2 linked regions of the Caenorhabditis elegans genome follow. The protein of the gene in region 1 purifies or fractionates together with the protein of each later gene. This does not show direct contact. Each region holds a gene or a part of one and is shown on either strand. Other genes may lie near its edges.

Region 1 (15,045 bases):
TTAAGATATAATTCGTCTATGTACCTGTTGAAAGAACTCAGATCGAACTCTTTTTGTGAAATCCAGTTATAATTTTTCGTTAAAAAGAGGAGCTAAAAGTTATTAATCTGAATTAAAAAGAGTCGAGACAGTGAATCTAATTAATATTTGGTATTTTATTAGAGCAATACACGTATTAAACATTTTATCATGGGTTTTTCGGCTCCAATTTTGTTGGCACAATATTTTATTTCTTGCCACATACTACTGTACGTTTGGGCTCAAATAAGCCATACAAAGTGCTGAACTATGAAGAATAATGTTTCAACATTACATTACTTACAAAAAATCAGATTGAAAGCAATGTTTTCAGTCTTTCTTGGCTTTTTTCAACATAACTTAGTATTACCATCTTATTCTGTGCCTCAACTTAATCGTTACAAGTTTGAATTCTTGAGAAAACTGTATTTAAAACCTATTAAGGCTTTTCAAAACTCAAATATATAAAAACGGTATCTTCTTAAGCTTTCGTTTTTAGTTTCCAATACTTTCCTTTCAGTAAGGCTTGAAATTTTTGGAAGCTTCACTGCTAGTTTCCCACTTCACGATTTTCCAATTTCAACTTGTTAAAACTGGCAAGATCACAGAAAAAGCCACACTTCCATGATAAAATCACAGAAAATTAAAGAAATTGGGCTGAATGTCTCAGATTTAGTGATTCTGGCACATGATCATTTCTCAAAACTTCAATTCAAAAATAAAATTGTTTGTGACCAAACCTTCATTTCTTATTTGACTTTCAGGCTATATATTTAATTATATTTCTTAATTGTCTTCAAATTTTTTTGAGATTTCCCCACTTTATGTAGTGAAAACAAAGATAAACTTCTTATTTTCTCAATTTTTCAATAAATTTAACCTTTTGCAGCAAGGTATTCTCTTTTTAACTGAGAAAACTATTTTAAAAATTCATTTCATCATCTTTCCTTTGCTTTCTCAAGAAAATTTCATAGAAGAAATGAATTTTTTCCGCAAAAATAATTCAATATTCAGAAGTGCGCCAGCACGCGAAAGGCGCATCGGTGAAACGCGCAAGCAATCTCCCTCCCCCTTCGTTTCCACCCGAGGAGACCGTGTTTCCTAAAAAAAAAATTTCAAAATCGCTGAAACTTAAATTTTTTTGGCTCTCGGCAATTTTTTTTGTTTTTTTTTAACCGTTTTGTATGTGCAAAATTGATATTTAATTTGTTAAAAATAGAAAATTCGGAAAAAAACTTGATTTTCGTTTTTCAATCGGTGGTTTTTCGGTTTTTCAGAAATCTATTAAAAAATTATTTTTCGGAAAATTGCTTTTAAAAAATTTCAAGCAGTTTTATACAAGAAAAAGTGAACATTTTATCATTGGCAATTTTGTGAAAATTTAAAATTTAATTTTAAATTTTTCAAAACTAAATTTTCAAAAAAAAATCATTTTTATTTGAACAAAATTTTTAATTTATATTATAAAATTCGATTTTGCCAGTTTTTTTTTTAAATATTGAGCGTTTTTAAGCAAATTTTTTTAAAGAGAAAACCAAAAAAAAAAACCAATTTTTTGCTCAAAAAAACAAATTTTATAAATTTACCTTCTCCTCAAAGCATAACATTTCCGTGTGTGGCTTGGAAATCGGGAATCCATTTGTCGCGAATTTCTCACTTTTCTCTGTAACTGCAAGCAGAAGAGCACTTCGAGCAAATGCGACCAGCTCGGGGACGTATCTGAAATTTATTTTATTGAAAACAATTTTCAACTTTCGGATTTTTCGTAAAAATGGAGTTCGGTTTTTTTTTTAATTTCAAAATTTTGATACGCTTCGATAATTCGGTTTTTTAAATTTTTTTAAAAGAGACGAGAGATTTTTTAAAAATAGAGAAATGACCGGAAGATTTTTGAAAAATTGCAATTTTTTCTAAAAAATTAATTTAAAAAAAAACGGGATTTTTGTATTTTTTCAATGTTTTCTGATCTAAAAATTGCCAAAACAAAATTTATATCAATTTTTGAAAAATTCGCTTTTTTTTAACATTAAAATGGAAAATTAATGCAATTATTTGTTAAAAAATGAACTTCAGAAAAAAAAATCAAGTTATATTTTAAAAAATTGCTTTTTTGAATTTTTATAGTAATCTTTTTTCGATATCGAAAAAAATAGATTTTTTTAAGCGACAATTCTGAATTTTAAATTTTTTGAGTTAGCTTTTGAAAATAATATTTTTGGTGGTTTTGGCTTTTTTTTTCGTTACTTTTCCTATTTTATATCAAAGCTTTCAGTATTTTTTTCAAAATTTGCCTATTTAAATGTTCGTTTCCAAGTATTACCTCTTGGATTCAGACACATATTCAACAATAGCATTAGCCAATTGAATTTGTTTAGCCAACGCATTCAAATTGGCACATTTCGCCGAGCAAAGTGCTTCAGTTGCCAAAAAAAGAGCCGGAACCACTACAGGATGCCAGGAATCGGCAACTGGGAAGAGGCCGGAAACAAGACGAATTGCAGAGATTAATCCAAATGACACTGGGCTACTCTTCTGTTTATCCTGGCGGCCTTTCCAGTGTTGACGGATTAGAGCACGCACACATCGGACTCCGTATTGAATGTCGAACTGCAAAAAACAATTTGAAATTTTTTTCAATTGTTGAATTTTTTGCGTTTTTTAATCTGAATTTTTAATATTATTTTCTTTATTTTCAGGATTTTCCATATTTTTTTTCTGAAATTTTAATGATTTTTTATATAATGTTTCTTTAAAAATATTTCCATGATCGTTTCCTATTTTTAATGATTTTTTTCTTAAATTTTCATGATTTTCCTGGTTTTTCTTTTTTTTTTCGAGACTGATTTTCAAAAAAAAAAGGTTTTAATTTCACATGATTTTTCTCAAAAAATCGGGGCTTTTTTGCAATTTTTGGGTCAAACATTCGGGTATTTTTTTTAATTTTTTGGCCAAAGTTTTTGGAATTTATTGCAATTTTTAGGTCAAAAAATTCGGGGATTTTAAAACATTTTTTGGTAAAAAATTCGGGACTTTTTTGCAATTTTTGGGTCTAAAAATCGAGACTTTTTTGCAATTTTTCGGTCAAAAATTCGGGGATTTTAAAACATTTTTTTGTAAAAAAACCGGCTTTTTTGCAATTTTTAGGTCAAAAATTCGGGGATTTTAAAACATTTTTTGGTAAAAAATTCGGGACTTTTTTGCAATTTTTGGGTCTAAAAATCGAGACTTTTTTGCAATTTTTAGGTCAAAAATTCGGGGATTATAAAACATTTTTTGGTAAAAATATCGGGACTTTTTTGCAATTTTTGGGTCTAAATATCGAAACTTTTTTGCAATTTTTAGGTAAAAAATTCGGGGATTTTAAAACATTTTTTGGTAAAAAATCGGGACTTTTTTGCAATTTTTGGGGTATAAAAATCGGGAATTTTTCAAAATTTTAGGTCAAAAATTCTCGAATTTTTTCAATTTTCAGATTAAAAAGTGCGGTAATTTTTCAGCTTTTCCATCCAATCGCTACCTTCATCAACGCATGCATAGTTTCCTGCGCTAAATTCATTTCCTTCACACTTTCCGCTGTCAATTCCTCCTTCGACATATCATCAAACCATCTTAAACACAAGAGGAAAAGCTTATTCAGACGCTTCTTATTTCCTTCTTTAAGGCTCGGATGATGACATTTCACGAGTCGTTCCAGCACTAAATCCATCGATTCCGAGTGTTTTTCCAGAAGAGCACAGAATTTTTTATAGTTTTTCGGCATTTCGAATACGAATGGCAGAGTTTCAGCGGGTTCTGGAGCAGATTTTTTCGCTTTTTTGACGACTTTTTGGGCTTCCTGAGCTTCCTCATCATCGGAATCTTCTTCCAGCTCATCCTCATCTTCCAGTAGATCATCCAGATCCTCTTCCTCATCTTCTAGATCCTCGTCATCGTCAGATTCATCAGAACCATCCAGATTTTTCTTTAAAATCCTGGATTTTTCCACCGTATCCTCATCGATCAGGCCACCTTCATCGTCAAATTTGACCTCAAATCTCGAATTTTTCGCCTGAACTTTTCTGGCGTCGGCCTTCGATCCAGCATCGATATCAACGTCGGCATCGGCTGATAAATGAGATTTTGCGTTGAAAAATGCATTATTTTTCGAGATACGGGCGGCCTCGAGAGTTTCCAGACGTTCTTTTTCTTTCAGAGCTTCTTCTTCTTCGGATAGCTTACGATCTGCTGGGGTGGCACGAGCGTCGGCTTCGGTTTTCAAGGTGATTGTCTGGAAAAATAATAATTTTTGGATAAAAAATGGAATAAAACCTATTTTTCTTGATTTTTTAGGCGAAGAAACAAAAAAAAAGCCTTTTTCTATCATTTTTTAAACAAAAAAATTGGCTTTTTCTTAATTTTTTTGTCGAAAAATAGTTATTTTAAATTGTTTTATTTTGTAAAAAAACGACTTTTTTAAAGTTATTTTTCGGCGAAAAATTTATTTTTTTAAATTAAAAATTGCCTTTTTCGTCATTTTTGTCAAAAGAAAAACCGACTTTTCTCGAATTTTTGTCAAAAAAATTGACTTTTTAATGATTTTTCGTCAAAAAAATTCTCAGTTCAGCTCAATTTCTTTCGCGATAAGAAGTTAAATGTTTTATTTTTCACTTCAAATTGCACAAATTCCGAAATAATTTTACAGTGTTTTCTCTGATTACAAAGCTAAAACTTGGATTTCTTCAACTTTTACAGCAAAATTAATGAAAATTTCCAATTTCCATAGCAAAAATGGTTAAAAATTAGCATTTTCAGATCAAGTTTTTTGGGTTTTAGGTTTTCCACTAAAAAATTGTGAAAAAAATCGATTTTCACTCTAAATTTATAATTATCTTTTATCTTAAAAATTTGGAGAAAACCGGGATGTTTCCCGTACCAATTTGTCGTAATCATCTTTTTCCAGCGGCTGGCGCCCGGTCGGCCTAAATGAAGCCTTCATTTTGCCCATCAAAGCCTGATACTTGGAATCCAACGACTCTGTCATCAGCTCGAGCTCATCCTTCTGCTGTTGCTTCTCGTGACGCGCCAGCTTCGTTTTCGCAATCAAATTCGAAATCATATCCTCTCGGCTGATTTTTTCGCGGACGTGCTCCTCGGCGGTCTTCTCTCCACCACCGAAATGAGCCACTTTTACCATATTTGAGCCCAAATTTCCCGGCTCTTCATCGTCATCCGAGTCGGAAATCATCGATTTGTCGTATTTTTCAATGTCCGAGAGCGCTTTTCCCTTGTGAGTAAGTACTGAAATTTACTTTATTAAAATTTTTCTCAATTTATTTCGGAATAAACCTTCTTCCTCCTCATCTCCATCATCTGTCAAGTTGAATTTCGATGCTCTTTTATAATTTTTGACTCTTTCCTCTGTGAATCTCATCGCGCCCTTCTCCTCCTCGCTTTTTCCGTCCTTTTCGCCGAGCCGTTTGTCGACAATTTTGCTAATCTTATTTTTCCGGTCATATTCTACGCCTAGCGTCTGTTCACGTTGCTCGTGAGCTCGTTTTCGTGACGCAGTCGGTGCTCCAACTTGTGCGCCCTTTTTCCGGCCGAGAATCTGCGAGAAAATCGATTTTTTCTTCAAAACTCTGAAAAACTCACGTCATGCTTGGATTTGTTGAATTTTAGCTCGAATGGATTGGTTTTTCGTTGCTTTTGCTTTTTATCAACACCCATGTTTGCTGAAAATGCGAAAAATTAGGGGGGAAACAGAGAAAAAACCAGGGGTATCCAGGAAAATTTAAGAATAAAAATTGGGAAGTTTGCGCGTCAAGTCGTGCGCATTGTACGCAACGACGCCTTTATTTTGCAAAGTTTTGAAAATTGAAATGTTTTAATTTATTTTTTTATGCACGTTTTGCTGAAAAAGTGGAAAATTTGAAGAAAATCAAGGGAAAACTAGGAAAAATCAGTAAAAATCAGTGAAAACAGAGAACATAATGAAAAAAATTTGCGCGTCGGGTCGGGTGCGCTGTACGCAAACACTTCACACTTTTGAAATTTTTTTTTTATTTTTGCGAATTTTTGCGAGTTTATTCCCCGCGGGCCTGCGAAAAATTGCGTAAAACTTTAATATTTTGACCGGAAATTTTAGATTTCAAGTTTTAAGCTAAACTATCTTTGTCCTTTCACCTAATTCTTCCCTATTTCACCCCCAAAACAGCTATTTTTCCCTATTTTCAGATGGAGCAAATCGGAGCAGCTCTCCAGCAGACTCTGGAGCCGGATGCTGCGATTCGCAAGCGTGGAGAAGAAGCGCTCCGCTCGCTGCAATCAAATCCAGGCTATATCATTCAAATTCTTCAACTGGTGGTCAACGAACAGCAACAAATTGCTCCGCAGATCCGAATCGCCGCGGCTGTCGCTTTGAAAAATTTTGTGAAGAGAAATTGGGTTGGAAAATTTGAATAAATGCGTGAATTTTATATTTAAATTGTTTCAGGGCCCGGCACCAGAGGTAGAAATGGGCCAGGAAGACGAGGAGCAGTTCAGAAGCATGCTTCTCGAAGCGATGTTCAATACAAAATCAAATGTTCAGGAAATCCTGTCCAATGCTCTGTATCTCATCGCTCAGAGAGATTTTCCCGAAAAATGGCCAGATTTGGTTCCATATTTGTCGAAATTCCTGAACGGAGCGGATCTCAATCACCTGGTGGCCTCGCTGGCGTCGATGGAGCAGATTTTCCGCAAATTCCGATTCGAATCCAAGTCAGCAGAGCTTTGGAAAGAGCTGAAGAAGTGTCTACTGAGCGTGAGTTGCGTTTTGGCTCAAAATTTGGCTAATTTCAGCTAAAATCCCCAATTTTGGCCACTTTTTTACGTCGCAGCCGTCGGAAGTTGAATTTTTGTCCGCTTTGACCCTAAAAAATGACCAAAATTAGACATTTAAGCTAGCTAAAGCTGGCCTTGTTTTCCGAAAAATCGTGAAAAATTCAACATTTTATGATTTTTTAGTCAAAAATTTTAACTAAAGCAAAAATGAGGAATTTTTGGCGAAAATTGATAATTTTCCTATAAAAATGGACAAATTTTCAAAATTTTTGAGCCAAAAAATTGAAGAAATCTGAATGTCAGTCTCGAATTTGGACCGAAAAACTGTTTTCTCCCCAGATTTTTCAGTTACAAATAAAAAGAACCGATTTTTCAGACCCAAGAGCCTCTAACTCTGTTGCTACGGAACATGATGGAGGTGGGACAGCGGAAGGATCAACTCGGAGCCGACGAGATCGCCCAATGGCTCCGAGTCTTACTTCTCATTGCAAAAGTCTACCATTCTCTGTGCTCACAGGAGATTCCGGAATACTTCGAGGATCATCTCAAGGACTGGATGCCACACTTCTTGCATCTCGTGCAAATCGACGCGCCGACGCAGACCTCCAACTCGGGAGAACCTACAACTCTGGACGAGCTTAAGCACGAGATCTGTGAGATCTTCACGCTCTACTCGCAACGCTACGAGGAGGAGATCTCCGAGTTCGTGCCCGACATCATCCTTGCCGTCTGGAATCTGCTCAAGTCTACCGGCCCCGACACTCGATACGATACGATGGTGTGCGCCGCGCTGGAATTTCTGTCGATGGTCAGCCAGCGACAGTACTACGAGGGACACTTCACTGGTGAAGGCGTTCTGAAGACTCTCGCCGAGAACGTGTGCGTTCAGAACCTTCTGCTTCGTCAACAGGATATGGAACTGTTCGAGGATGAGCCACTGGATTATATGAAGCGAGACATCGAGGGTACCGATGTAGGAACTCGACGCCGTGGAGCCATCGATCTTGCGCGAGGTCTCTGCCGAAGATTCGAGGCGCAAATGCTTCCATGTCTGGGGGAGATCGTGCAGAACCTGCTGGGAAGTGGTGATTGGATCAAGATCGACATTGTCTACTCGCTGATCACGGCGATCGCGGTGAAGACGGAGACTGCTAAGAGTGGAGTAACGGCGACGAACCCGCTGGTGGACATCAACGACTTCTTCATCACACAAGTGGCCACACATCTCAACGCCGATGTCAATCAAACTCCGATCCTTAAAGCTGATGCACTGAAGTTTGCGGTCACTTTCAGGAAACAGCTGGCTCCAGAGCACCTTATGACTGCGATCAAGTCGGCGGACGCTCTTCTCAGCTCGAATACTCCGATTCTGCACAAGTACGCAGCTTACGCTATTGAAAAGATCCTTCTCGCTGATTCCAACAAAATCTTCTCGGCTCAAAATCTTCCAGTCTCCTCGATCCTTCAGAACCTTGTCACCGCGTTCGACAAGGATGCCAAAGCGCAAAACTCGCCGTATCTGATCAAGGCGATTTTGAGGATCATTGTGATTCTCGATGACGACACGATTCGGCATGCGGACGCGATTGCGGTCAAGCTCGCACAGTTGGTCGAGTCGGCGACGAAAAATCCGGCGGATTCGGTGCACACGCACTTTTTGTTTGAGACGATTTGTGTGTTGATCACCAAGGTAAGGAGTAGTTTGAGAGAAAAATACCACTCTAAACTCCGCCCATTTTTCCGTGCCGCACTTTGGTCTCAAATTTTTTTTCATAAATTGGAACATAACTTGTCAAATTTTCTGAAATTTTTCTGCAAAAAAAAATTCGCTGAAACTCGGAAATTGGAATAGACATCGATAATTTAACTTTCGATCTGAAAATTTTCGGAAAAATTGGCAATTTTGCTGGAAAACGCAAAAATTTACAAAAAACCAACACTTTTCCGTTTTCGTGTTTTCAAAAAATATACCTTTTTTTAATTTTTCGGAAAATCGAAAAAATTCAATTTTTCTGATAAGAAACCTAAAAACTGAAAAATTTTAGTTTTTAATTATTTTTGTCGAAACAAACCCCGAAAAATTGAACGATTTTCACTGAAAAAAAAATCAAAACTTTTTGTTTTTCAATTTTTCGATGTTTTTTTCCGAAAAAATCGAAAAGAATCTTCTTTTTTTAAAGAAGAAATCGATAATTTTTTTCTGAAAAAAAAAAATTAAAAATTGCAAAATCGAAACATTTGTCTGCTTTTTCGTGTTTTCCTTTTTGTGATTTTTTTTCTTATTCAAAAAAAAAGTGATAGCAATTTTAAGAACATTTTATATTTTTTAACGAATTTCCTGTTCCAGACCCGAACAATCGGCGCCTCACTGGATGCTCAACTCCTTCCACTGATCGAAGTGATCTTCCGCGAGGATTTGGAAGATCTCATCCCATATGCTCTCCAAATCACGGGAGTTCTCGTCTCCTCATGTATCGCTAGAAACTCATCGATCGATCAATTCTCACCGTTCCTTCCGTTTCTGCTATCCGAACGTCTTTGGGCGAGATCAGCGAATGTTCCAGCGGCACTTTCGGTTCTCGAAGTGATCCTTTCCGTGAATGCTCAGCGAGTCGTCTCGGAGAATTCTGGGTTGATCTTGAGCCATTTGGCGCGGCTTTTGGGCTCGAAAACCTTGGATCAATACGGTTTCCAGTTGGCGGCGACGATTCTTCCGTCGATTGAGCACTTCGAGGGTTCCGCGATGACATTTGTGCTCAATACAATGTTTCGAAGAGTTCAATCGTCGAAGACACCCAAGTTTATGAAGCTATTCATCGTGTTCTTGTGTCGATTTACGATCGCCCGGAGTGCACAGGATCTTGTTCAATCGTGTGAGAATATTCAGACTGGCATGTTCGGAATGCTCATCGAGAAGGTCGTATGCATTGATTTGCCAGGTCTGAAACAAACGACAACGGGGCCTGAGAAACGGATTATTGCCATTGGAATGGGCAATTTGCTAGCCGATGTCACGCAGCAGCTTGTGTTAGTAATGAAAATTTAGGCTTTTTTCCAGAAAAAATATCGAAAAACGAAAATTTTCGATTTTTTATATTTTTTTCAAAGGAAATTGAAAATCACATATTTTCGATTCAGTTTTTTTTTCTCCGATTTTTTTTTTAAACTTTAATACGGGTTTAAAAAAAATAGAAAGTTACAATTTTTAAATATTTCAGAAAAAAAAACGAAAATTTTCTATTTTTTAAAGATTTTTTTGGAAAAAATTGAAAAATTGCAAATTTTCGGTTTTTTTCCAGAGAAAAGTTAAAAATCACATATCAAAAAAAAATTTGAAAAACACAAATTTAAAAAAATAAAATTGAAATTTTGTCGATTTCTTCGTTTTTTTTCCTGACAAAATCTGGAATTTTCAGTTTTTTGAAAAATCGACAATTACCGACTTTTCCCTATTTTTTCAAAAAAACAAAATCGAAAACTGCCGATTTTTCAACAAAAAAATTAAATCAAAAATGAAGATTTTAATTTTTTTTTCGGTTTTTTCTCAAAAAAAAAACAATTAACGACAATTAACAAAAACAAAATTACAAATAAAATCATTTTAAATTCAATTTCTCATATAAATTTTTTTTGCAGTGGTCAATACGGAATTCTGTCATACGAGGTGGCAATGCTGCTGGAAGCTGCTTCAGCCTCCGATCGAGCCGTCCTATCACCAGAAGAAGAGCAAGCTTCAATGTACAACGCCGAGGGAGAATTTGTGAACCCATTCTGTCGTCTGAGTTACGCTCCCAAGCAACCGCCCGTCGCCGCCAACATCGCCAACCACAAGGCCTACTTTGCGCAGGCCGTTCTTGTCCGTGGACCCGGAAATTGTCCAGAGACACTTCGTTCTGTACCGCCCGAGATTGTCACCTATTTGCAGTCTATTCAGCAATAATTTCCCCGATATTTATATTTTTTCAATTGTTTATTATCTTTTTTTTTCTCTGCTGCTGCCCGATTACTCGCTCTTTCTCTCTAAAAAAAATCCCCCGTTGTTAACTTTTTTGTCTTAAATTTCAAATTTCTCACTTTCCATCTCTGATTAGTTTACGGTTGTCGAAGCCCCGCTTCTTCTTCTTCTTATCTCACATCTGCCCCAGTTTTTTCCTCTTCAAATTGCCTTATTTAATTGTTTTTCACGACATTTTTGCTGTCAAATACACAGAAATTCACCTCGATTTTGAGTGTAAGATGTGGTGCCTGAAGGAGTGACGCGCAAAATATCTCGTAGCGAAAACTACAGTAATTCTTTAAATGAATACTGTAGCGATTGTATGTCGATTTACGGAAATAATTTATAATTTAGTAATCGATGACGCACACAAAAAACAAAAAAAATAATTTTAAAAATCGAACCCGTAAATCGACACCAGCGCTACAGTAGTCATTTAAAGGGTTACTGTAGTTTTCGCTACGAGATATTTCGCGTTCTCAGAATTCAAATAGTGTTTCCGTAATATCATGGCTCCTTTCCACGGGGAGGCAAAGCTAACGTGGCCGCGAGAGTGCGCCGGCTAGCCACCGCCTCCTATGGTTAAGAATTTTGATCGAATAAACATTTTTAATTTGACTTATATGCTTATTTTTCTTCGTTTTTTCTTATTTTTTCTTGTTTTTTCTTGTTACTACGTGGAATAAGCATAATGTTTTCAGCTAATCTACGCAAACCGCTTCGAAATTCGATGGATTAAACCGGACAAAGGCAAAAAACGTCGAAAAGTAAGTTATTATTCAAAATATCTCGAAAAATTATGGTACAATATTTCTGAAAATCTACTCAAATATGGAAAAATATATGCTGATTCCGAATTAAAAAGTCTTGAACCTCAATCTCGCGTATTTCATATTTATTTTCTCGATTTTAGTGAAAAATTCGAGAAATTCAGTGCAATTTCGAATTAAAAATTACATTTTTCCAAAAATTATGGTACAATATTTCTGAAAACCTACTCAAATATGGAGAAATATATGCTGATTCTGAATAAAAAAGTCTCGAAACTCAATCTCACGTATTTCATTTTTTTTTTTCGATTTTAATAAAAAATTTAGGAATTCAGTGCAATTTTCGATTTTTTTTCAAAATATTTTCTCTTAATGTTTTTATAATTTCCAGATATTACGTTGTCGCTGCATTGGAAGATTTCAAGACAAAATTCGAAATAGATGCGAACAAGAAGAAGCTGTTCGAAGTATTAATAAGGAAGGTTAAGCAGCAATAAGTGCTCTTACAAGGGCTCAAGTGCCGCAGAAGAAGCCAAAGAAGGTAGGACTGCAAGGTCGACTGCTCAATCAGCCACTATTTAAGAAGAAACTACAAGTCAGATCGGTCCGAAGGCAATCAAAAGTTCCAAGCAGAAGAAGTGAAGCTCATGGAAGAGGTTGGAAAGCACGAGTCTGAAGTTCATGAAGCACTCGGCGATTTGGTGGATACAAGATGTGTGATCGAAAATTTCAAAAAAAAATCTGATCAAAATCTTTGAAGCAATTCCACTCAGCAACCAGAATATTGGATTCGTTTCCGAGGATAAGTATGTGGATTTTCTTTAAATTGGAAAATTTAGAAGTTGATTTTCAGGTGCAATGGTGAAGGAGCTTCAACATCGTTCAACGAGGAAGCCGTTTTCATGCCGTACCTCAATGATCCTGTTCAATTCCGTAAAAAAAAATTTCGTCTTATTGCAAAGGAGCACAACTTCGATGGAATTCTTGAGGTGTTACTTATTTTTTAATTTTAAAAAATTAAACTTCGTGAGAGGACCCTCGCTGAATTGGGAGCCCCCTCGTGGAGCGAAAGTATCAAACCGTTGTGAAACTCTTCGATCGTGCCACGTTGCTCGGTAGCATGATCAGAAGGACGCCGAGAAGAAGTGATAGGATAAGGAGACGACTGCCAAGAAGATCAAGCCATGCTTGTTCTTTCTAATAATGTTCTTTATATTTCGTTCCTGTTCAGATTTCTTATTCCCCCCTCCCCATTCGGTTAATGTTCTTCTCTCTCTTTTCCTTGTTCAGCATATCTACTAAGTATCCCTCTCTGACGAGTTTTATATTGGTTTTCGAGACAATGAATGTTTTAAACGTTATATTGATGTTATTAAATGTGTTATTCAGTCAATCGGAAGAAAAACTAGATAAAAACAAACTATTCAGCTGAAATTCATCGAAAAAAGAGGAAATTTTCGGTTTTTCTCAGAAAATCAGTGGAAACATAATGAGAAACATAAAATATGCACTTTTTTATTTTTTAAATTACTATTCTCTATCACAAAACATTTTTTTTCGACTTTTATTCGCTTAAATAATGAGAAAAGCGCTTTTAGCCAGAGCTGATATTGACGAATTGTCGTCAAATAAAATGCGCGTACGCAAAGTACGCAATAGTGTACAAAACTTATTCGCGTTGAATATTCAGTCAGCCAAATGGGACTACTGTAGAAATTTCTTCAGCCACGTTAGCTTTGCCTCCCCGTGTTTCGGGGAAATTTCCAATATGATTTGCGCGTAAGATATGATGCATGTACGCAAATACCGAGATTTATTGCACAATATTGTGCGCGCTACGCAGAAATGGCGCGAAACTCGTAGAATGCTCATTCTTGCAACCTGCGATCTATCAAATTTCGCCCCTCCACTGGTTTTGATGTTCTACGTTTGCACTTTTCGGACAATTTTTCAATTCAAAATTAAAAAAAAGGAGACCCGAAGAACTCGGGGGATGTCCAATTGGGGGGATTACCAACTCGGGAGTTTGGCCCCGCCCACAGAACCGTGGCTTGCAATACGCCCATTTCTGCAACTGCCGCACGGTTTTAAAATTATTTTTTCTTGTTAATTCTCGCTCTATTGAGAAAAATACAGTTTTAAAACCGTGCGGCAGTTGCAGAAATGGGCGTATTGCAAGCCACGGTTCTGTGGGCGGGGCCAATCCCCCGAGTTGGTAATCCCCCCAATTGGACATCCCCCGAGTTCTTCGGGTCTCAAAAAAAGTACACTTTCTCCTTCATTCCTTGAGGAATTTGTATCACAAGTAGTTAATTATTACTGATTTCCCAGCTCGCACATTGTTTTTACTACTGATACGTATTTACTCTTTTTACTCTTCTGTCTGAAAAAAAAAGCGAAAAACACACTCTTTTCAACTGCGTCTCTTTCAGAATTACTCTCCATCGTCGCCAGACACTGGTTGCCTGGAATAGGTATTAGAGATTTTGCCGTTTATTTTTTTCTTTTTTTGTCAGTGCACTGGCCAATGTAATGCCAAAATTGCAAACAGTTCTCTATGCAAATATTAGTTTCTCGCTGACTCATTCCATCGATTTTTTATTTCGCAACACGCTACCATCATCATATTCCAAACATAAATCATCATCGGTTGTCGCCGAAAAGTTGCGAAAACTCGCTGAAAAAACCAGTAAATGTCGTGAAAATCACGTGAATCCTTTTAAAATTTGAACTTCCCGCCGTGTACAGTTTAAAGTGCGTGTGACGCAGCAAGTGCGCTCCGTTGAGAATCGTGCACTCGAGGCGTTTTTGTCCCAAAATTCAATATTTGTTGGCCTATTTTTCACATTTTCCGATAGGTTTTTTGTTGAAAATGCCAATTTTTATACTAAAAATCTATTTTCCTCAGCGATTCCGCGTATTCCCCAGGCGTTTATCTGCAAAACCGACTCGCTTTCATCTTTTTCCTTCTCAATTTTGAAATTTTTAGCACATATTCTGATTTTCAGGGTTCCCTACAATGGACGTCAATCAATTCACTGAGCTCATCACAAAACTGCAGTCAGCAGACAATGATATCCGAAAACAAGCTGAAGAAGTCTATGAAAAGATTGAAGGACCAACCAAAGTAGCTGCACTTTTCGAGGCCTACACACACCACACGAATAATTCTGATGTTAGTTCACTCAAATTCCTATATATTCCATGAATTTTCGATTTTCAGGCCAGATCCACAGTTTTGGTGTTTCTGCGACGAGTTCTCGCCAGAGACTGGGATGCGATTTGGGAAACGCTGAACGAGGAGAACAAACAGCGCATTCTCGCCAAAGTTCTCGAGATGATAGTTCACGAGACCGAACTCTCGATTAAGAAGAAGATTGCTGATTTGATCTCTGAAATCGCTTCAAACCTCATCGACGATTCTGGAGATATGACATGGGGAGGAGTCCTCGAGCTGAT
Region 2 (15,716 bases), 4.6 Mb from region 1:
TATTATAGGGACGCATAAAAACCATTCTGAAATTAACATGGAAATGCGCTCTACGCCTCTCCCTCGAACCATGGGTCTCGTTAGGTATTTGGCGGCAAATCGTAAACTCAATCGTATGGCCGTGGAGCGCGTTTCTGTGCCGATTTCAAAAAAGGATTTTCCTGCGCATAAGTAATAGGAGAAGACGGAAGTGCAGAAAAAAAAAGTAAAATTGTTATTGATAAACAAATAAAATTAGCAGAGAAAGGAAACTGCATGCAAAAAGATTAAAAGTTCAAAATGAAAAAAAAAAGAAAAAAAAATTATATAACAGGAATATTTGTGTTTCGATAACGAAAAGAAAACCAAATTCTAAAGAAAAAAGAGAATAAAATAAACAATTAGACTCTATTATAAACAAACCTAGAACCTTTTCTGTGACAGTGAAACTTTTTAAAAATGCTAAAATGCTTTCAAAAGCCTTTAAAATGTTTTAGAAGTTTTGCTTCTCAGAAAAGAGACAAATTTTAATTTTAAATTTTAAAAACCAAAATATATTGTACAAATTATGAAAATTATGCACCTAAACGCATTTTCTGATATGAAGCCATGCGATAAGCAATGGTGAAGATGCGATCGTTAACAAGTAGATTCTTCCAATTGTTCTGCTGAAGAACGGAGCAAGAAGAGCAGCTGAGAAGAAGAGTGTCGATGGGAGAGTCTGTGAAATTGGCACGCACGGGAGTGCACTTCCGGTGGATGGTTTCTCCGAATAGAATTCATCAATAATTCTGAAATCAGAGGAGAATATCAGTAGATGAATGAATGTTTGACACGGATACCTTTCCTTTTTCGTGAATCGCTCAATCGTCCAGGTGCGGAGCTCCAATTTCGCCTTGGGAACCTGCAAAGCAAATATTTGTAAATTTGAATATTTTTTCTTAGAAATTTTTGAAAAATATTTTCTTTGCAGCAAGACATATTTTGGAAGCCAGTTTTATTTGTGTTTAAAAAAATTCAAAACTTTGGGTTTTGGTTTTAAAATTTTGGGTTTTTTAAAGTTTTTGTTTTGGTATTTTTGGGACCAAAAGATCCAAAAAAAAAAACTTTTGCCAAAATTGGTTTTAATGAATTTTTCTTTAAAATTTTTTTTTAAAAACCAAAATTCGATTTTTTTTTAGATTTTTGTTTTCACAAATTACAATTTTTCTTTTTTGTTCCGAATTTTTTTTGGTCCCAGCCCTGAGCACCACCTTATTTAAAAATTTTAAAAATTTTAAATATTTTTATTCAAAAAGTGGTATTCACCCAGTTGTTGTCACTCATAATTCTGAAAATGGCCAAAAAACTACTTTTTTTTTAATTTTAAATTTATATTTTGATTATGTTTTAATTTTTTGCTGTTTACCGGAGGTAAATTAACATATTTAAAAAAAATTTTCTACTGTTATTTTCTGATGTTCAGATTTTAAAGATTTTTTGGAAACTAAAAAATGGCGGATTTTTGATTTTTTTTTTTCAAAAAAATAAGAAATTTTTCTTTAACTTCTGATTAAAAAGGGAAATCAGATTTTTTTAGGTTTTACATTACGATATTTCGTCTTCAAATTTGCAGTTCTATAGAGATCTGACAATGAGCGTATCAAAATTATCCGAATTTTTAATTTAAACTTTTTCGTGTAGTGATGCTGCTACCTCATCAATTGGAATCCTATCAAGATGAATATGAAGTTGTTTGAATTGTTGTGATCCACAACAAAAATCAAACATTCCAGGCGCCAATCCACGACGTTCCGCCATTCTGTAGATAATAATTAGATTATAATGAATTGTTAAATTCAATCCCAAATCAAACCTCATTTGTCCATACATTACAGTAACATCATAGATAGCGTCAAGTGTCGACAAATTGTCGAGTGCCAATTGTAATCCTCCACTGCGCGGACACAACACATTTTGCATTGGTTGACGGCCCTGAATGCGTCATTGAAAAAGCGGATTGAGGGGGAAGGGGACCGAAATTTGATTGAAGGACATTATGGGGAATGTCATGTTTTGATTGTTAGATGTTTCAAATTATACATATTTTATTAGTAAGGTTGTTTTTGCAATTTAGGTAAACCTGGAAACTAGAAAGCTGTGAAAATTTATTTTTAAAAAGTGCTAAATTTAGTTTAAATTTCCAATTTCGAAGATATTCAAAAATAATTCAATTACACCCAATTTCTGCATTTTTGGGATATTTCCGAAAAAATGATTTTTTGAAGCAACTGCAGAAGATTTTTCATTTTTCGTAGTTTTTGGCAAAAATGTATTTCTGGTTTTTTTTTTTGAAAAAAAGTACCCAAAAAAGCACAAAATTTTTTTAACCTGTGCAAACTCATACATTTCAAAAAACTTTCACCAAAATTGCAATCAAGACAATGTTTCATTGTTTTTTTTTTGCGGAAATTCAATTTTTGCTTTTAACGGAGAAAAATAAGGAGAAAAATAAATAATTTGTTATCCTTTCAAAAATTTATAAATTTAGATTTTTGTAAAATATTTTTCTAAAAATGTCACTCAAAAATGTAACTTGAGTACAGGTATGTTCATAATATTCAAGATTTTCAACAAAATTTGGATTTTCGCTTTTTCGTGATTTTAATGATACATCAATTTTTTTTAGATTTTAAAATTCAAATTCCTTACACTTTTCTCCAAAAATCGATTGCTGCTCTCCAGCAGATGTTTCTTTTTCGCAGAATTTCGTGTTCCTTCAGGAAAAATCAGAAGCCAATAGGGCGGATCAGATTCATTAAGCCACTTCAACTGTCGTAGAACCGGTGCTCCAATAAATTCTCCAAAACGTCGAACATAGATATAACCATGTTGAAAAATGTACCATCCGAACATTGGAACCAAATGAATCGAATTTTTAACCATCACACGAAAAGCCTGCTCATTTCCTTGATCTCCATGTCTAGCGGCAAGCATTACAGGAATAATCCAATCGACATTTGATTGATGATTTGAAATCATAACTGCATTCTCTGGTTTTCCAGTTTTATTCACCACTTCTTCATTAGTTCCGTGTAAGTAGATCTCAACTCCTGATAAGTTTTCAAATACAAAAAGACACAGTCTCATATATGATTTATAGAGCATATTGTCAAGTTGTTGTGCCACGTGTCGGGGCACAATCCACGAAACTCCACCGATCACAATTGCACACGAGGCAAATGGAACCATTGATAATGAAAGTAGGGAACATGGGATAATTGGTCGAAGTGCATCCACTGCTATTGTTAGAGATATTAACATCTGAAAATTTGTTCATTATTTTATTTTTAAATTAAAACGAACATAAAACAAGGTTCCTCTGCAAGTACTGGACTTTTCGAATATATTTTTGGATTACAAATTTTTTAATAGAAAATATTTTTGCCAAAATTTTTAACCGTTTTCATGTGAATTCTAATACAAATTTTGAAAAAAAAAACCCAGCAAAAAACCAACAAATTGTGAAAGTATAAAAATCGGCGGACATTTGGACAGCCACGTGACAAGGTATAAAGCAGAAAGCAATTGATATTTTATGTACAAAAAATGGCGGGAAAGAGGAGAATAAACAAGTTTGTTTGGTTTATCACAATGGGGAGAAATCACCGGTTTGAAACAAATTTCAATTAAATTGAATAACTAATGCATTAGGAAATATTGTAATATTAAATAAATTAAATTACCCGGAGAAAAGCGAAATATAAATACAATTTAAAGCTTTTAAATAACATGAGTAGTTCGAATATTTTGCTTTCTAAAACTGAACATCGACTTCATGACGGCGTACTGAATTCCTCCAATGATAACTGGAGTCATGAAGAGAATGAGGAGGATCGTGTTTTTTAGATCTTCAGACAGAACTTTTGACTTCAAATAGTCCTGAAAAAAATATAATAATTTGGTTTATCAAAAAAAATTGTTTTTACCTGATAACCCGACTGATTAAGCAAATGAACAATGATAACAGGAGCTACAGATTGTGCCGGTTTCACGAAAAGTGCGTTTAAACTGAATACAATAGATGGGATTCCTGAAGAACGGCTATTCTTCCGAGCGTCATCATCCACGAAATCGGAAATTATTATGTTGAAGAGTGGTGCTATTGTGTGCACTGTGACGCTGAAAGGACTTTTTTTGTTGAATAATTTAATAGTTTTAGAAGGAAAGTATTTCAGCTTTCTTTGTAAAAAAATAGAAAGACATTTAGCGGCAGGGGAGCACTTTGAATTAGAAAAAAGTCGATTTGAATCTGCTTTCATTGCATTTTTTTACTACTTTAGAAAATTTCTTCAAATGAGGATTTTTGCAAACTTTGGGCAAGCAAAAATTCACATTTAAAACGAGTTCACAGTCCTCTAAAGTAGTAAAAATGCTAATTTTTAACGACCAATTTCAAAGGTACTATTTCAATTTTCAGATTAAAACCTACCAATCGATAAGCATGAAGAGCATAATGCTATATGGATTTCCGGATGCAACGATCATAAATCCGGATAAAAACGAGACAATATAACTAACAGAAATCACCCGAATCGCGCCAGCATTTGCAATTAGCTTTTCATTAACAATTAGAATAATTTGTGGTCCAAGTGTGAGTAGCATAAAGAATAAACTCAATCGAATCGATCCACTCGGTAGAATATCCTGAGGAATTAGGATTTCTGTAATAATTGATGCAAAATTCATATGAGCAATACTTCTTGCTGTATGGAAAAAATTGGTGATCACTATGGCGAGAAACTGTCGTTGTGAGAGAATTTGCTTGGTAAGATGAATAGAATTTTGAACATTTTCGTGGAATGTTAGTTGATGTTCCTTTTCTTTTTCTTGTTCTTTTTCAATTAAAACTTCTCGATCTCCTTGTTCCTTATCCTCTTGACGATTGTTTGTGATTTTTCCAAAGTGACCTCCCCACCAAAGACAAATGAAAGAAAGTATTGCGACGAAAAAGCAGATTCCTTGGAAAATCGGAAAATTCTGAAATTAGCGAACATTTCTTAAATCTAAATTTTAAATAATAATACCTTTAAACTGTTGCTCAGCTTTTCCGTGACAGCAATCGAAAATACCGATAAAAGAATTGCGATTTGAGAATATTTCAGTGCTTTTACTCGGATCAATGACTGATTTTGTGTGGTGTCAGCGAATAGAGCTCCCCATGCAACACTGATTGCACTGAAGAATGCATCGTAAAGGAATAATGAGAGAACAAGGTGCAATCCTTCCAAATCTGAACCTTCTGTATTCCATGGGATCCACATGAACACAAATGAGCCAACAAGGAAAGGAGATAAAGTTTTGATCACTAATAAGCGATTTGTGAGCCATGATCCACGAATTTCCTGAAAACAAAATATTAAATAATCATTTCTAGCTTACAAATATAACAAATACCTGCAAATATCCAAAAAGTGGATCATTTATTGCATTCCAGACCATAAACAAAGTTTGCGCAATGTTGAACCATTTTGTGTTGACGTGAAACTGATTAATGTATACTTTAACATAATAAAACATGAAGAGCGTCTGAAAATTGAGCTTTTTGAGAATTTAGGATACGAAACTCTCACCTGCAGAACACTTAATCCGAACTGTGAGAGTCCGATTGATAATAGGGAACTTCTCATTATTAAATTCGTATATTTCTTTCTTCAAACTATTAATTTTACAGGAATTTGAACAGATTTCCATGAAAAAACAGCAAAATACAGCAAAAAAAATGAAGAAAAATGAAATAATGCATGTACGCTCCATTGAAAATCTGTTATGGAAGAGAAATACAACGAATTTGAAAATGAGTGTCTCGGCGCGACAATGCTCCTATAACAGTCGTTTTCTCTGCGTCTCTTCATGAAATTTTCGGCGCAATTTACTTTTTCGAATTTTTGCACTTCTAAATCTGTTGAAATTTCTAAAATTTCCATCAAAAACGTAAATTTTCTTATTTAAAAAAATTTTAATAGGTTCCCGCTAAACTTTTTTACGAAACTTTATCAATTTCACTCTTTATCATCGGTAAAATTATCAAAAAAGCCCGAAAAACTATTTTCAAAATTTTAAATTGATTAGTATTTCTCTCGAGAGTGTATTTCCTCACTTAATCATCCTCAAATACATATTTTTCAGTAACTACGCTTACTCGGCTTCCGAAGTTTCTGAAGACAATGGCAGAACAAGCGGCAGAACAGATGCTGACGGTTTTGGAGAAAACCGTCTCACAAAGTAAGTTTAATTAAATAAGTAGATTTCAAATATTATAAAAATATATTTTCAGATCAAAATGATCAGAAACAGGCGATGGACTATATTGCGGCGGCATGTCAACAAGATTTTCCCGTTTTCGTTCAGTGTCTCAGTATGATACTTCGCACACAGCAATGTCAGTCATTTGTTCGTCAAGCCGCCGGTTTGCAGTTGAAAAACGTTCTATGTGCCAAAGAAACTGAAACCAAAAATGTGTATCTGCAAAGGTAAAACATTTTTTTAATAGAAAAAGTTTATAAAAATTGATTTTCAGATGGCTACAATTGACGGCTGAAGTCAGAGAACAGGTAAAGCAGAATGTGACCGGAACATTGGGAACTGAACCATCAAGACCATCAATTGCAGCTCAATGCGTTGCAGCAATCGCATGTGCAGAGCTTCCACAAAATGTAAGTATATATTGTACAGGACTTTATAAAAAAAATCATATTTTTTAGCTATGGCCCAATGTGATCAACCTGCTAAAGAGCAACGTGACAGAGTCACAAAGCGGAGAAATGCTGAAAGAATCTTCACTTGAAACTCTTGGATACATTTGTCAAGACATTGATCCACGAGTTTTGGAGACAAAAGCCAATGACGTCCTAACAGCAATTATTCACGGAATGCGTCCCGAGGAATCATCCGCCAACGTTCGATTCGCGGCCACCAATGCTTTATTGAATTCGCTAGAGTTCACAAACACGAACTTTAGCAATGAGGTGAGAAAAAAAGTGTTTAACCTCAAAGTGTGTTCAAATGAACGAATTTCGCAAAGATACTTCTCAAAAATGTTTCGGCAATTTGTTATGGCGATTAAAAAATCTTCAAAAGAACATAAATTTTTTTTGGTAAATTTTTTGAGAGTTATCATTATGAAATTTGATCGTTTTAGGCCAGTTAGTCTATTTCAGCAAATTGCCCACAAACTATACTTTCTCTTCAATGATTATTTCAAATTCAGGCCGAGAGAAACATCATCATGCAAGTTGTTTGTGAATCGACGAGCAGCAGTGATCAACGAGTAAAAGTAGCTGCTCTCCAGTGTCTTGTTCGGATCATGCAGCTGTACTATGAACATATGCTTTCATATATGGGCAGTGCACTCTTCCAAATCACTCTCTCTGCAATGAAATCCCAGGAGCCTGAAGTGGCAATGCAAGGAATGGAATTCTGGTCAACTGTCGCTGAGGAAGAATTTGACTTGTACATGACCTATGAGGATGTAAGAAATACGCGTTTTGATCGGAATGCTGCCATTTTTATTTAAAATTAGTGTCAATAAATAGAAAATCACTTGAATTATCTAAAAATTACTTTTTTTCTGTTGATTTTCAGATAATTCAAGAGATTTCCTATATTCTGACATTAATTTTTAATAAGAAATGTTGAAAGCAATTCCGTAGAATTGCCGAAAATAATTGGTTGTGGTTGACTCTAATTCTCCAAAATTCCAGGAAGTTGAAAGAGGAGCTCCAAATCCAAAATGTGCATCGCTACGATTCATGGAACAAGCTGCTTCACATGTGTGCCCGGTTCTTCTTGAAGCAATGGCTCACCACGACGATGGAGACGATGATGATGACTGGACACCAGCAAAAGCTGCCGGTGTATGCTTGATGCTTGCTGCTCAATGTGTACGGGATGATATTGTCAATCACGTGATTCCATTCTTCAAACACTTCCAAAATCCTGATTGGAAATACAAGGAAGCAGCTATCATGGCATTCGGATCTATTCTTGATGGTCCTGATCCAAAGAAGCTTCTTCCGATGGCACAGGAAGCTCTTCCAGCTATTGTTGCAGCCATGTGTGATAAGAATGTCAATGTACGTGATACTGCTGCATGGTCTCTTGGAAGAGTTATTGATACGTGCTCGGAGCTTGCAAACAACGCGGAACTTCTTCAATCTGTTCTTCCGGTTCTTTCCAATGGTCTTCATCAAGAACCAAGAGTTGCTAACAATGTTTGCTGGGTATCGTTTTTTATTAATTTCCCTAATATTGTTATTTTTTAATAATTTCAGGCCCTCGTTTCCCTTGTCAAAGCTTGCTATGAGTCAGCCGTCGCAAATGGAACAGATGGAAGTGGACAACCGGACACATTTGCTCTTTCCTCAGTATTCGATCCAATGGTTGGAGAGCTTATCAAGATTACCGACAGAGTAGATGGAAATCAATCGAATCTTCGAATCACTGCATACGAGGCTCTGATGGAACTGATCAAGCATTCACCGAAGGACTGTTACTCAGCTGTTCGAAATACAACTGTAGTCATATTGAAGGCAACAAAAGTGTTAATCACGAGCGAGAAAAAATGATTTTAATTTCAGAAATTGGAAAGCCTGCTGCAAATGGAGTCTCAGGCGACCAGTGAAGCTGACAAGGCTCAAGTTCGGGATCTTCAAGCAATGCTGTGTGCCACATTACAATCCGTCACTCGCAAAATGCAGCCAGCCGACATTCCAGCCGTTGGAGAGCACATTATGAACGGACTTTATCAAATTATGAACAGAGCTGCAGCGACAAGAAGTAATGCGGTCATGGAAGAAGCTTTGTTGGCTGTTGCTTGCTTGGCAGAACGTAAGATTTTTTTCCGATTTTCTGAAGCATATTTGAACTGGAATTCTTTCAGATCTAGGAAAAGGATTCCTCAGTTACATGAACGTGCTGAAACCATATTTGCTAGAAGGACTTTCGAATACAGATGAGACACAAGTATGTGCCGCCGCCGTTGGACTTGTCACCGACCTCAGTCGTGCTCTTGAAGCCGAAATCATGCCATTCATGGATGAATTGATTCAAAAGTTGATTCTGTGTCTTCAGGTAAGATTCGAGAAATGAGAAAACTCAGCTCGCATAAAATTATAATTTGATTTTTCAGTCACCACGGTTAGATAGAAACGTGAAAGTTGTGATTATTGGAACATTTGCTGACATTGCAATGGCTATCGAAGCACATTTCGAACGATATGTCGGCAGTGTTGTACCGATTCTCAACAATGCTCAAAATGCTGCAGTTGTCACTGATCCGGTAAAAAATGAAAAACATTATTCGAATTTATAATTAATTTTTCCAGAACGATGATGATCAAGTTGATTATGTGGATAGATTAAGAGAAGCTTGCCTCAATTCATATACTGGAATTATTCAAGGATTGAAGGCAATTCCTGACGTATGTGATTAGGCAAACGACGCATTTGAAAAATGTTATATGCAAAAACAGTGTATTTTTGAAAATGTTCAATTTTTAAAATTGGAAAATTTAATATTCTTTCAATTTTTCTCATAGAATTTTCTCGCGTTTTTTTTTCGTAAAATTTGAAAAGTCAAATTTCAAATCAAACTTATTCTATAAATTCTCCCAAAATTGTCATGAAAAAAATAACTGAAAAAACCACCAAAATTTTGAAAATACACAATTTCCGAAAAAACCGGAAAATCGAAAAATGTTCAAAAAATTAACCATGAAATTCAATTTTGATCAAATTTTGTTTATGTTGATTAAAAAAGTTTGAAAAAAATTTCTTCCCATAATGAGGAAAAATAACCCGAATTTCAAGATTTTTTTTGTTGAAATATCGGAAAACGAAAAATTCAAAAATTTCCGTTTTTCGATTTTTTTAAAATTTTAATTTTTTTTAGTTAAAAAATTGCAATATTAAACTTATTCTATACATTTTTTTAATAATAAAAAGCGAGAAAATTCTATGAAAAAAACTAAACAAATTAAAAAAAAATACACAGTTGTTTTTGCTTATAATTTTTTGACAAACCGGAAATTTTAATTTTAATGATTTCAGACGACCGCTGCCCGAAACATGATCAATGTATTCGTCGAGCCGATAGTTCAACTGATTACACGGATTTCATCAATGGAACCAGTTCCACCATCAGAAGCACTTATCGCTACTACAGCTGGTATCATTGGTGATCTTGTTCAGTTGTATGAGGGTGATATTATTCGATTCTTCCTAACTGATAATGTTCGTTTTTATTATTATTATTCAAATCTGAAAATTATTTTCCAGGTGACACAAATGCTGCAAAAGGGTAGAAAGTCAAAGGTGTCAAAGACGAAATCGATGGCCAATTGGGCGACCAAAGAAATTAAAAAGGTAACATTGAAAAATCGAAATTCATTTTTTTTTTAGAAAACAAGAAAATAAACCATAATGACCAAATATAACAACAAAAATTAAAAAAAAATCTACATGAATTTCTTAAAATATTGCAACAAAAAAAACTACTAAATGTTTTTTCCTGGTTAAATTTATCGGGTTTTTTCGAATTTTTGATTTTAAACACCTGTTGCCAATTTTGAGACATTTTTTCACAAAAAAGTTATAAGTTGTATGCTAGTTTTGAAGATTCTGCAATTTTTGTGGGTCATCAAGTTTTAAAGACAAAATCTCCGAAAAAAAAAACTAACAAAAGTTGCTAATTCAAATTTAATTCAGTCGTTCCTTTTATTTTTTTGCAAAAATTTTTTTAAACATTATTTTAAGAAATTAGAAAAAATCCAAAAATTTTTTTTAAACGGTTATATTCGGTCATTACTGTCAATTTTCTTTCATTTAAAGCAAAATTCCAAAACAAATATTCTCTAAGCTATAAATACTTACTTTTTTCCTTTTTCATCAACATTTCTAACGAATAAACTAGTTGCAGCATACGAACAACGGAGCAGCTACGTTCAATTTTAATCGTTAAGCAACACAAAACTTTCAATCTCAGTTCACTTTTTTTTCCAATTTTTCTTATTTTCTTCCTCCACCCCCCACATTTCTCTTTCATTTCCCCACATCTCTTCTTACAGGTCATATGCTCTCTGTTTCTCTCTCTTTGTCTCTCCCGTTTCCTTTTCTCATTCATTGCTCCGTTTTTTCCATCTTCCAAGTTTCCAGCTTCATCTCCTCCCCGGTATTTTTATTTTATTTTTTTATCTCTGACGAATTAGAATGTAATTTCCCCCACTTTTATTTTCGTTTCCTAGATTGTTTGCTTTATATTTTTGTGTGTGTGACCCCTCATTATTCAAATTTTTCTATTATGATTCTGATTTTTAGCAGCAATTATCTTCATCATTTTCTGGTTGTTTTTTGTCGGTCTTTATCGATTATCGTTTTTGCCCAAATTTGAAACTTCTAACACGGTATCTGACGGCCCTATACGTTATCATTTTGTTTCCCCTATTTATTCATCACTATTTTTTTTCTCAAAGTTTTACCGGCTAACACTATTAGTTTTTTTTTGTAAATCTATGTTTTCTATCCGAAGGGCTGTCAGTTACCAGTTGTCATCCCGCCTATTTCAATCTCAAGACACATCAATTGCACTAAATGATTCTCTTGGAATATTTTGGAATATATTTTTTTTTTAACGAAAAAAAAATTAATGACAAGTAGGAAAAAATAAATACATAGAAGTAAATGATAAATGATGGGGTAGTAAGGTAGTAGTAGAAACTATGTACATAGAGGGAAGGTGGTGGCAATTTGAAAAGCTCGGAAAAAAATGCAGGGGATTTGAATCAATTTTGATTAGAGGAAAAAGAAACCGGTGGAGGAATCTTGGAAATCATCGACAATAATGAAGAAAAGTGAAGATTAGATGAGAATTGAAGGCTAAGAAATCTCTCGAATGACCATGTTTTCGGGGGTTTTGAAATGAGGAGACCACCTCAATTCTGATTTTTTGTGTGTGTTTGACTAGATTACAAAACGTGGATTCAGAATAAATGGATGGGGCTATCGATTGAAAGTGGGCAATTTGTCGAATGAGTAACCAGGCCGGCCGCATAATGTACACGTCACGTAGTACACGTGGTAGAAGCCCGGAATAAAGCAAACGAGGCCGGCGAAGAAGAATACCCAGTGTTGCATTCCGGAATGAGCTGAAAATGGTGAGGATTTGGATGAATGGGTTACTGTAGAGCTATCAAAGAAGCAAAATTTCATGATTTATGAGTTAAAGAATACGGTACCTGGTCTGGACACGAAACATTTTTTTGTCAAATGCGACAGTAATTTTCTACTCGATTTTTCTACATTTTTTTACAATTTATTGGAAAACTGTTTGAAAAATTAGTAATAATTCATCGGAAAAAATTTGAAAATTAAAGTACTCTTTAAAGGTGCAAACACCAAAAATTTGTCGTGTCGAGATAGGATACTCGATTTTTGGAGCAAATATCGCAAAATTTCGCATCCGAGTAATACTTTCCATTTTTTATTTGCCAAAAAAAAAAGACTCACCTTCATCTGGATTCATAGCAACCCAACATCCTATCACAAGAAGAACTGCTCCAACAGCTGTTAATATAATTGATCCAATTATCACTTTGATATTTGATTTAAGCTGTGGACTGCATAAACCTCTGAAATATTAAACGGTTTTTGAGCTTTTACAATTTATTTTTTATTCTATCTTTTATTTCATAGTCTCTAATGTTTTCGTTTCAATAATCACGTGTTTGTTCAGTGCTGCCCTTTAGGGCACACAGGTGTGAGATTTGGCGCCAATCGTGGCGAGACCCGCCGCTTTTCTTTTTTCCAAACACATGTTTTTGGGTGGCGACTACTTTGATTTTTAGTCTTACTCTCATTTAAAAAAAAGAAGTTTTTTCAATTTTAGATTTTTTGAATATTGGCCAAAAAATTTCTGATCGAGCAAACTTTTTAGTTCCAAGATTTTTTTTGGAAAAAACTTATTTGAATTCAGCAAATGTTGTACTTTCGAAGTTATTACGTGAAGATAAAATCCTGAGAATGCGTATTGAGCAACATATTTGACGCACATAATATCTCGTAGCGAAAACTACAGTAACTATTAAAATGACTACCGTGGCGCTTGTGTCGATTGACAGGCTCGATTTTTTGAATGATTTTTTTTTGAATTGTGACAGCGATATTCCATTTTTCTTCCGTATTATTTTGTAATTTTTAGATTAGTTTCAACAAACAGAAAAAATTAAAAATCGACCCCGTAAATCTACAAAAGCGCTATAGTAGCCATTCAAATAATTACTGTAGTTTTCGCTTCGAGATATTTTTTGCGTCAGAAGAATATTGTTCTTGCATAATATTTTTAAAACAAAGTTTTTTTGAATTCTCTTCAAATTTTATTTTATTTTAAAAAGAACAAATTTTAAAAAAAGCTTACGTTGATTTATTCTCTTGAGGCCTACTCGGAGTGAACGGAGGACTACTTCCAGGATAAACTCCTCCATTTCCATATGGTGCATCGTCGTGTTCCATTGAAATTGCCTCGTGTGCTCGATTTTCAGCCGTGACCGCTCTTCCAGCCAGCTTTTCAGCGTCTTCGTCGTCCGATTCGTTTCGATCGACTATCAGCTGAAACAAAAAATGTAAGAATAGTGACAGAATTACTTCTATGATCATTTATTTTCTCACGTTTTCGTGGTTTCCGTATGAATTTTCTAGTGGTTTTCTGTCGAAAGCCAGCGGTTTTTCGTTATTATGAATTATAAATGAGTTTCAGCATGTTGAAAAAAGAAAAAAAGAAAACAGCGATGGATTAGAACACAGAAATCTTTCTTGAAAAAGAATAAGAAAAAAAAATAAAAAATGGATTGTTTTTGGTGTCGGTTTGGCTACAAAAGAGTCATTTTTCTTTTGTCTGTATTATTTTTTGAATACAAATAACTTACATGTTGTCCCTGTGACACATTACGCTGATGTCCTGGCATGCTAGGCATATCTGGAAATATTTATTTTGAAGTAAGAAACACAGTTTCATTTGCAAAAAAACCACGTGGGAGAGGAGGGGCGAGAGAGAGAAAACAAAAAAATTCTGAAGATATGCAACGACGAGAATCGATTCCAATTGCATTTTTGCCCCAAACATGTTTTGTGTGTGAGGAAATGATGAAGAAAGGCGGCGATTTGAATTGAGATAACATTTTTTGGAACGAAACTGAGAGGGAAGAGAGAGGGCAAATCGAGATTCTTTTATCGCTTGAGAAATGTATTTTTTTAATTCGTGATTCATGTTCATGCAAAATTTGAATAAAATTTAACAAGAACTTTGGTGTTTTTTCACGGAAACAAAAATAAAAAAAAACACTTAAAAATTACAGTTTTCAAGCTTCTGCTTCGGGACCCGGCTGACAGAAATGTGTATGTGCCTTTAAAGTCTACAGTATTTAGCTACATTTTTAATCGAAAGTTTCAATTTGAAATGGCAACAAATTTAGGAAATAAGTTTTAGTTTCCAGTTTGGAGAAATATAATGAAAGCGTGACACGCGAATCGGGGTCGCGAAGTGACTAATCGCGCACCCATTTCCGCCTCTTCAACTCTTTTGGCAAACATTGGTGGTGGTGAGAGAGAAGAGAGAGCCGCAACGCGTGACCGCGACGCATCCGAACGTCTTCGTCCTCGAATTTCCGGATTTGTTTTTATCCGCGGATATTCCGAAATTACAACTATTTTCCACCGTTTTCTCTCAACTTTTCTGCATTTTCTTCTCCGAATTTTTCTCTCCTTTCTGATTTATCACCCGACTCGCACGCACAAAACGCGCAATGTTTGTTTTGATGTCTCTGGGTTTGTTGAAAAAAACACCTGCCATTTATTTCTTTTCTCGTAGTTTGATTCAGTTATCGTCAAAGTGAGTCAGAGACTAGAACGCGTCGTTATCTTATCAATGAGGAATTCCTAAGAAGACAGTAAATACATCAATCCATTATTTTTGCATTAAAAACGATTATCAAGCAAGTAACTGCGAACATTGATGATGTTCTCTCTTTTATCTTTTAAACCTTTGAAATGTTTTTTGCCATTTTTTCCGATTGCCGAATCCTTTCTTTTCTAAAATTGCCAAAATTTCCGATTTCGCCGAAAATTCAAAAAACCGGCAATTGGCGATTTTCGCGTACCCCTGGCTCTAACGTGACATTTTCGAAGTTTAGAAAGTTAATCTTGATCTTCAGAATAAATAAAACAAAAACTCCTACGTGAGAATCTTGTGATATTCGAGTAAACATACCGATTTCACACCTTTTGAGAGTTTTCGCACTCATTAACAGAACATATAGCTTGAGAAATGTTGATATTCAATTTTTCGAAAAAAAAAGAAGCTTTACGCTAAAATACCAATTTAACATAGCCGCTTAAAACACAACACAAAACGAGAAAAGGGTTGAAAAACCATTTTAGTTGTTCCACAGCACGATTGGCAGCAGCAGAAGTCAACAGAGAAAGACTACAGTACTAAGCAAACGGAAAAGCCGCCGACAGTGAAAGAGCACTCGTGTTGAATACAATTAAACTGGGTCTCTTTTAATTTTTTTTTCTCCCCTATACCTCTGTTCTATTTATTTTCCAGTTTGCTCTCTGTTCCAGGCTCTCATAGAGCCACGTCATTCAGTTTTGTGGTTTCGCAATTTCTTTTTCAACTAGAATTCTTGTTTCTGCTTCTATTTTTT

Evidence for each region.
Region 2: the proteins of xpo-2 (region 1) and imb-1 fractionate together in Caenorhabditis elegans (co-fractionation; one large-scale study listed by BioGRID). This does not show direct contact.

Annotation. Positions count from the first base shown.
Region 1 is NC_003279.8:314,539-329,583, reverse strand, and holds xpo-2 (Exportin-2), read left to right. Parts: upstream 1-6,231; coding exon 6,232-6,441; intron 6,442-6,490; coding exon 6,491-6,799; intron 6,800-7,195; coding exon 7,196-8,509; intron 8,510-9,166; coding exon 9,167-9,846; intron 9,847-10,455; coding exon 10,456-10,759; 3' UTR 10,760-11,035; downstream 11,036-15,045. Other genes in the region: nol-14 (Nucleolar protein 14), read right to left, coding at 1,605-1,737, 2,339-2,625, 3,536-4,285, 4,931-5,295, 5,344-5,605, 5,650-5,724; imb-3 (Importin N-terminal domain-containing protein), read left to right, coding at 14,606-14,761, 14,810-15,045.
Region 2 is NC_003279.8:4,916,665-4,932,380, reverse strand, and holds imb-1 (Importin N-terminal domain-containing protein), read left to right. Parts: upstream 1-6,147; 5' UTR 6,148-6,185; coding exon 6,186-6,243; intron 6,244-6,295; coding exon 6,296-6,491; intron 6,492-6,538; coding exon 6,539-6,674; intron 6,675-6,722; coding exon 6,723-6,986; intron 6,987-7,228; coding exon 7,229-7,489; intron 7,490-7,721; coding exon 7,722-8,240; intron 8,241-8,291; coding exon 8,292-8,549; intron 8,550-8,597; coding exon 8,598-8,847; intron 8,848-8,899; coding exon 8,900-9,090; intron 9,091-9,148; coding exon 9,149-9,298; intron 9,299-9,344; coding exon 9,345-9,440; intron 9,441-10,068; coding exon 10,069-10,251; intron 10,252-10,296; coding exon 10,297-10,383; intron 10,384-10,936; coding exon 10,937-10,978; 3' UTR 10,979-11,622; downstream 11,623-15,716. Other genes in the region: acl-11 (Phospholipid/glycerol acyltransferase domain-containing protein), read right to left, coding at 563-770, 822-883, 1,675-1,780, 1,835-1,953, 2,671-3,282; mfsd-13.1 (Major Facilitator Superfamily Domain containing homolog), read right to left, coding at 3,742-3,900, 3,948-4,140, 4,451-4,998, 5,046-5,363, 5,416-5,547, 5,592-5,648; F21F3.7 (Transmembrane protein 230), read right to left, coding at 12,016-12,161, 12,523-12,644, 13,430-13,620, 13,938-13,985.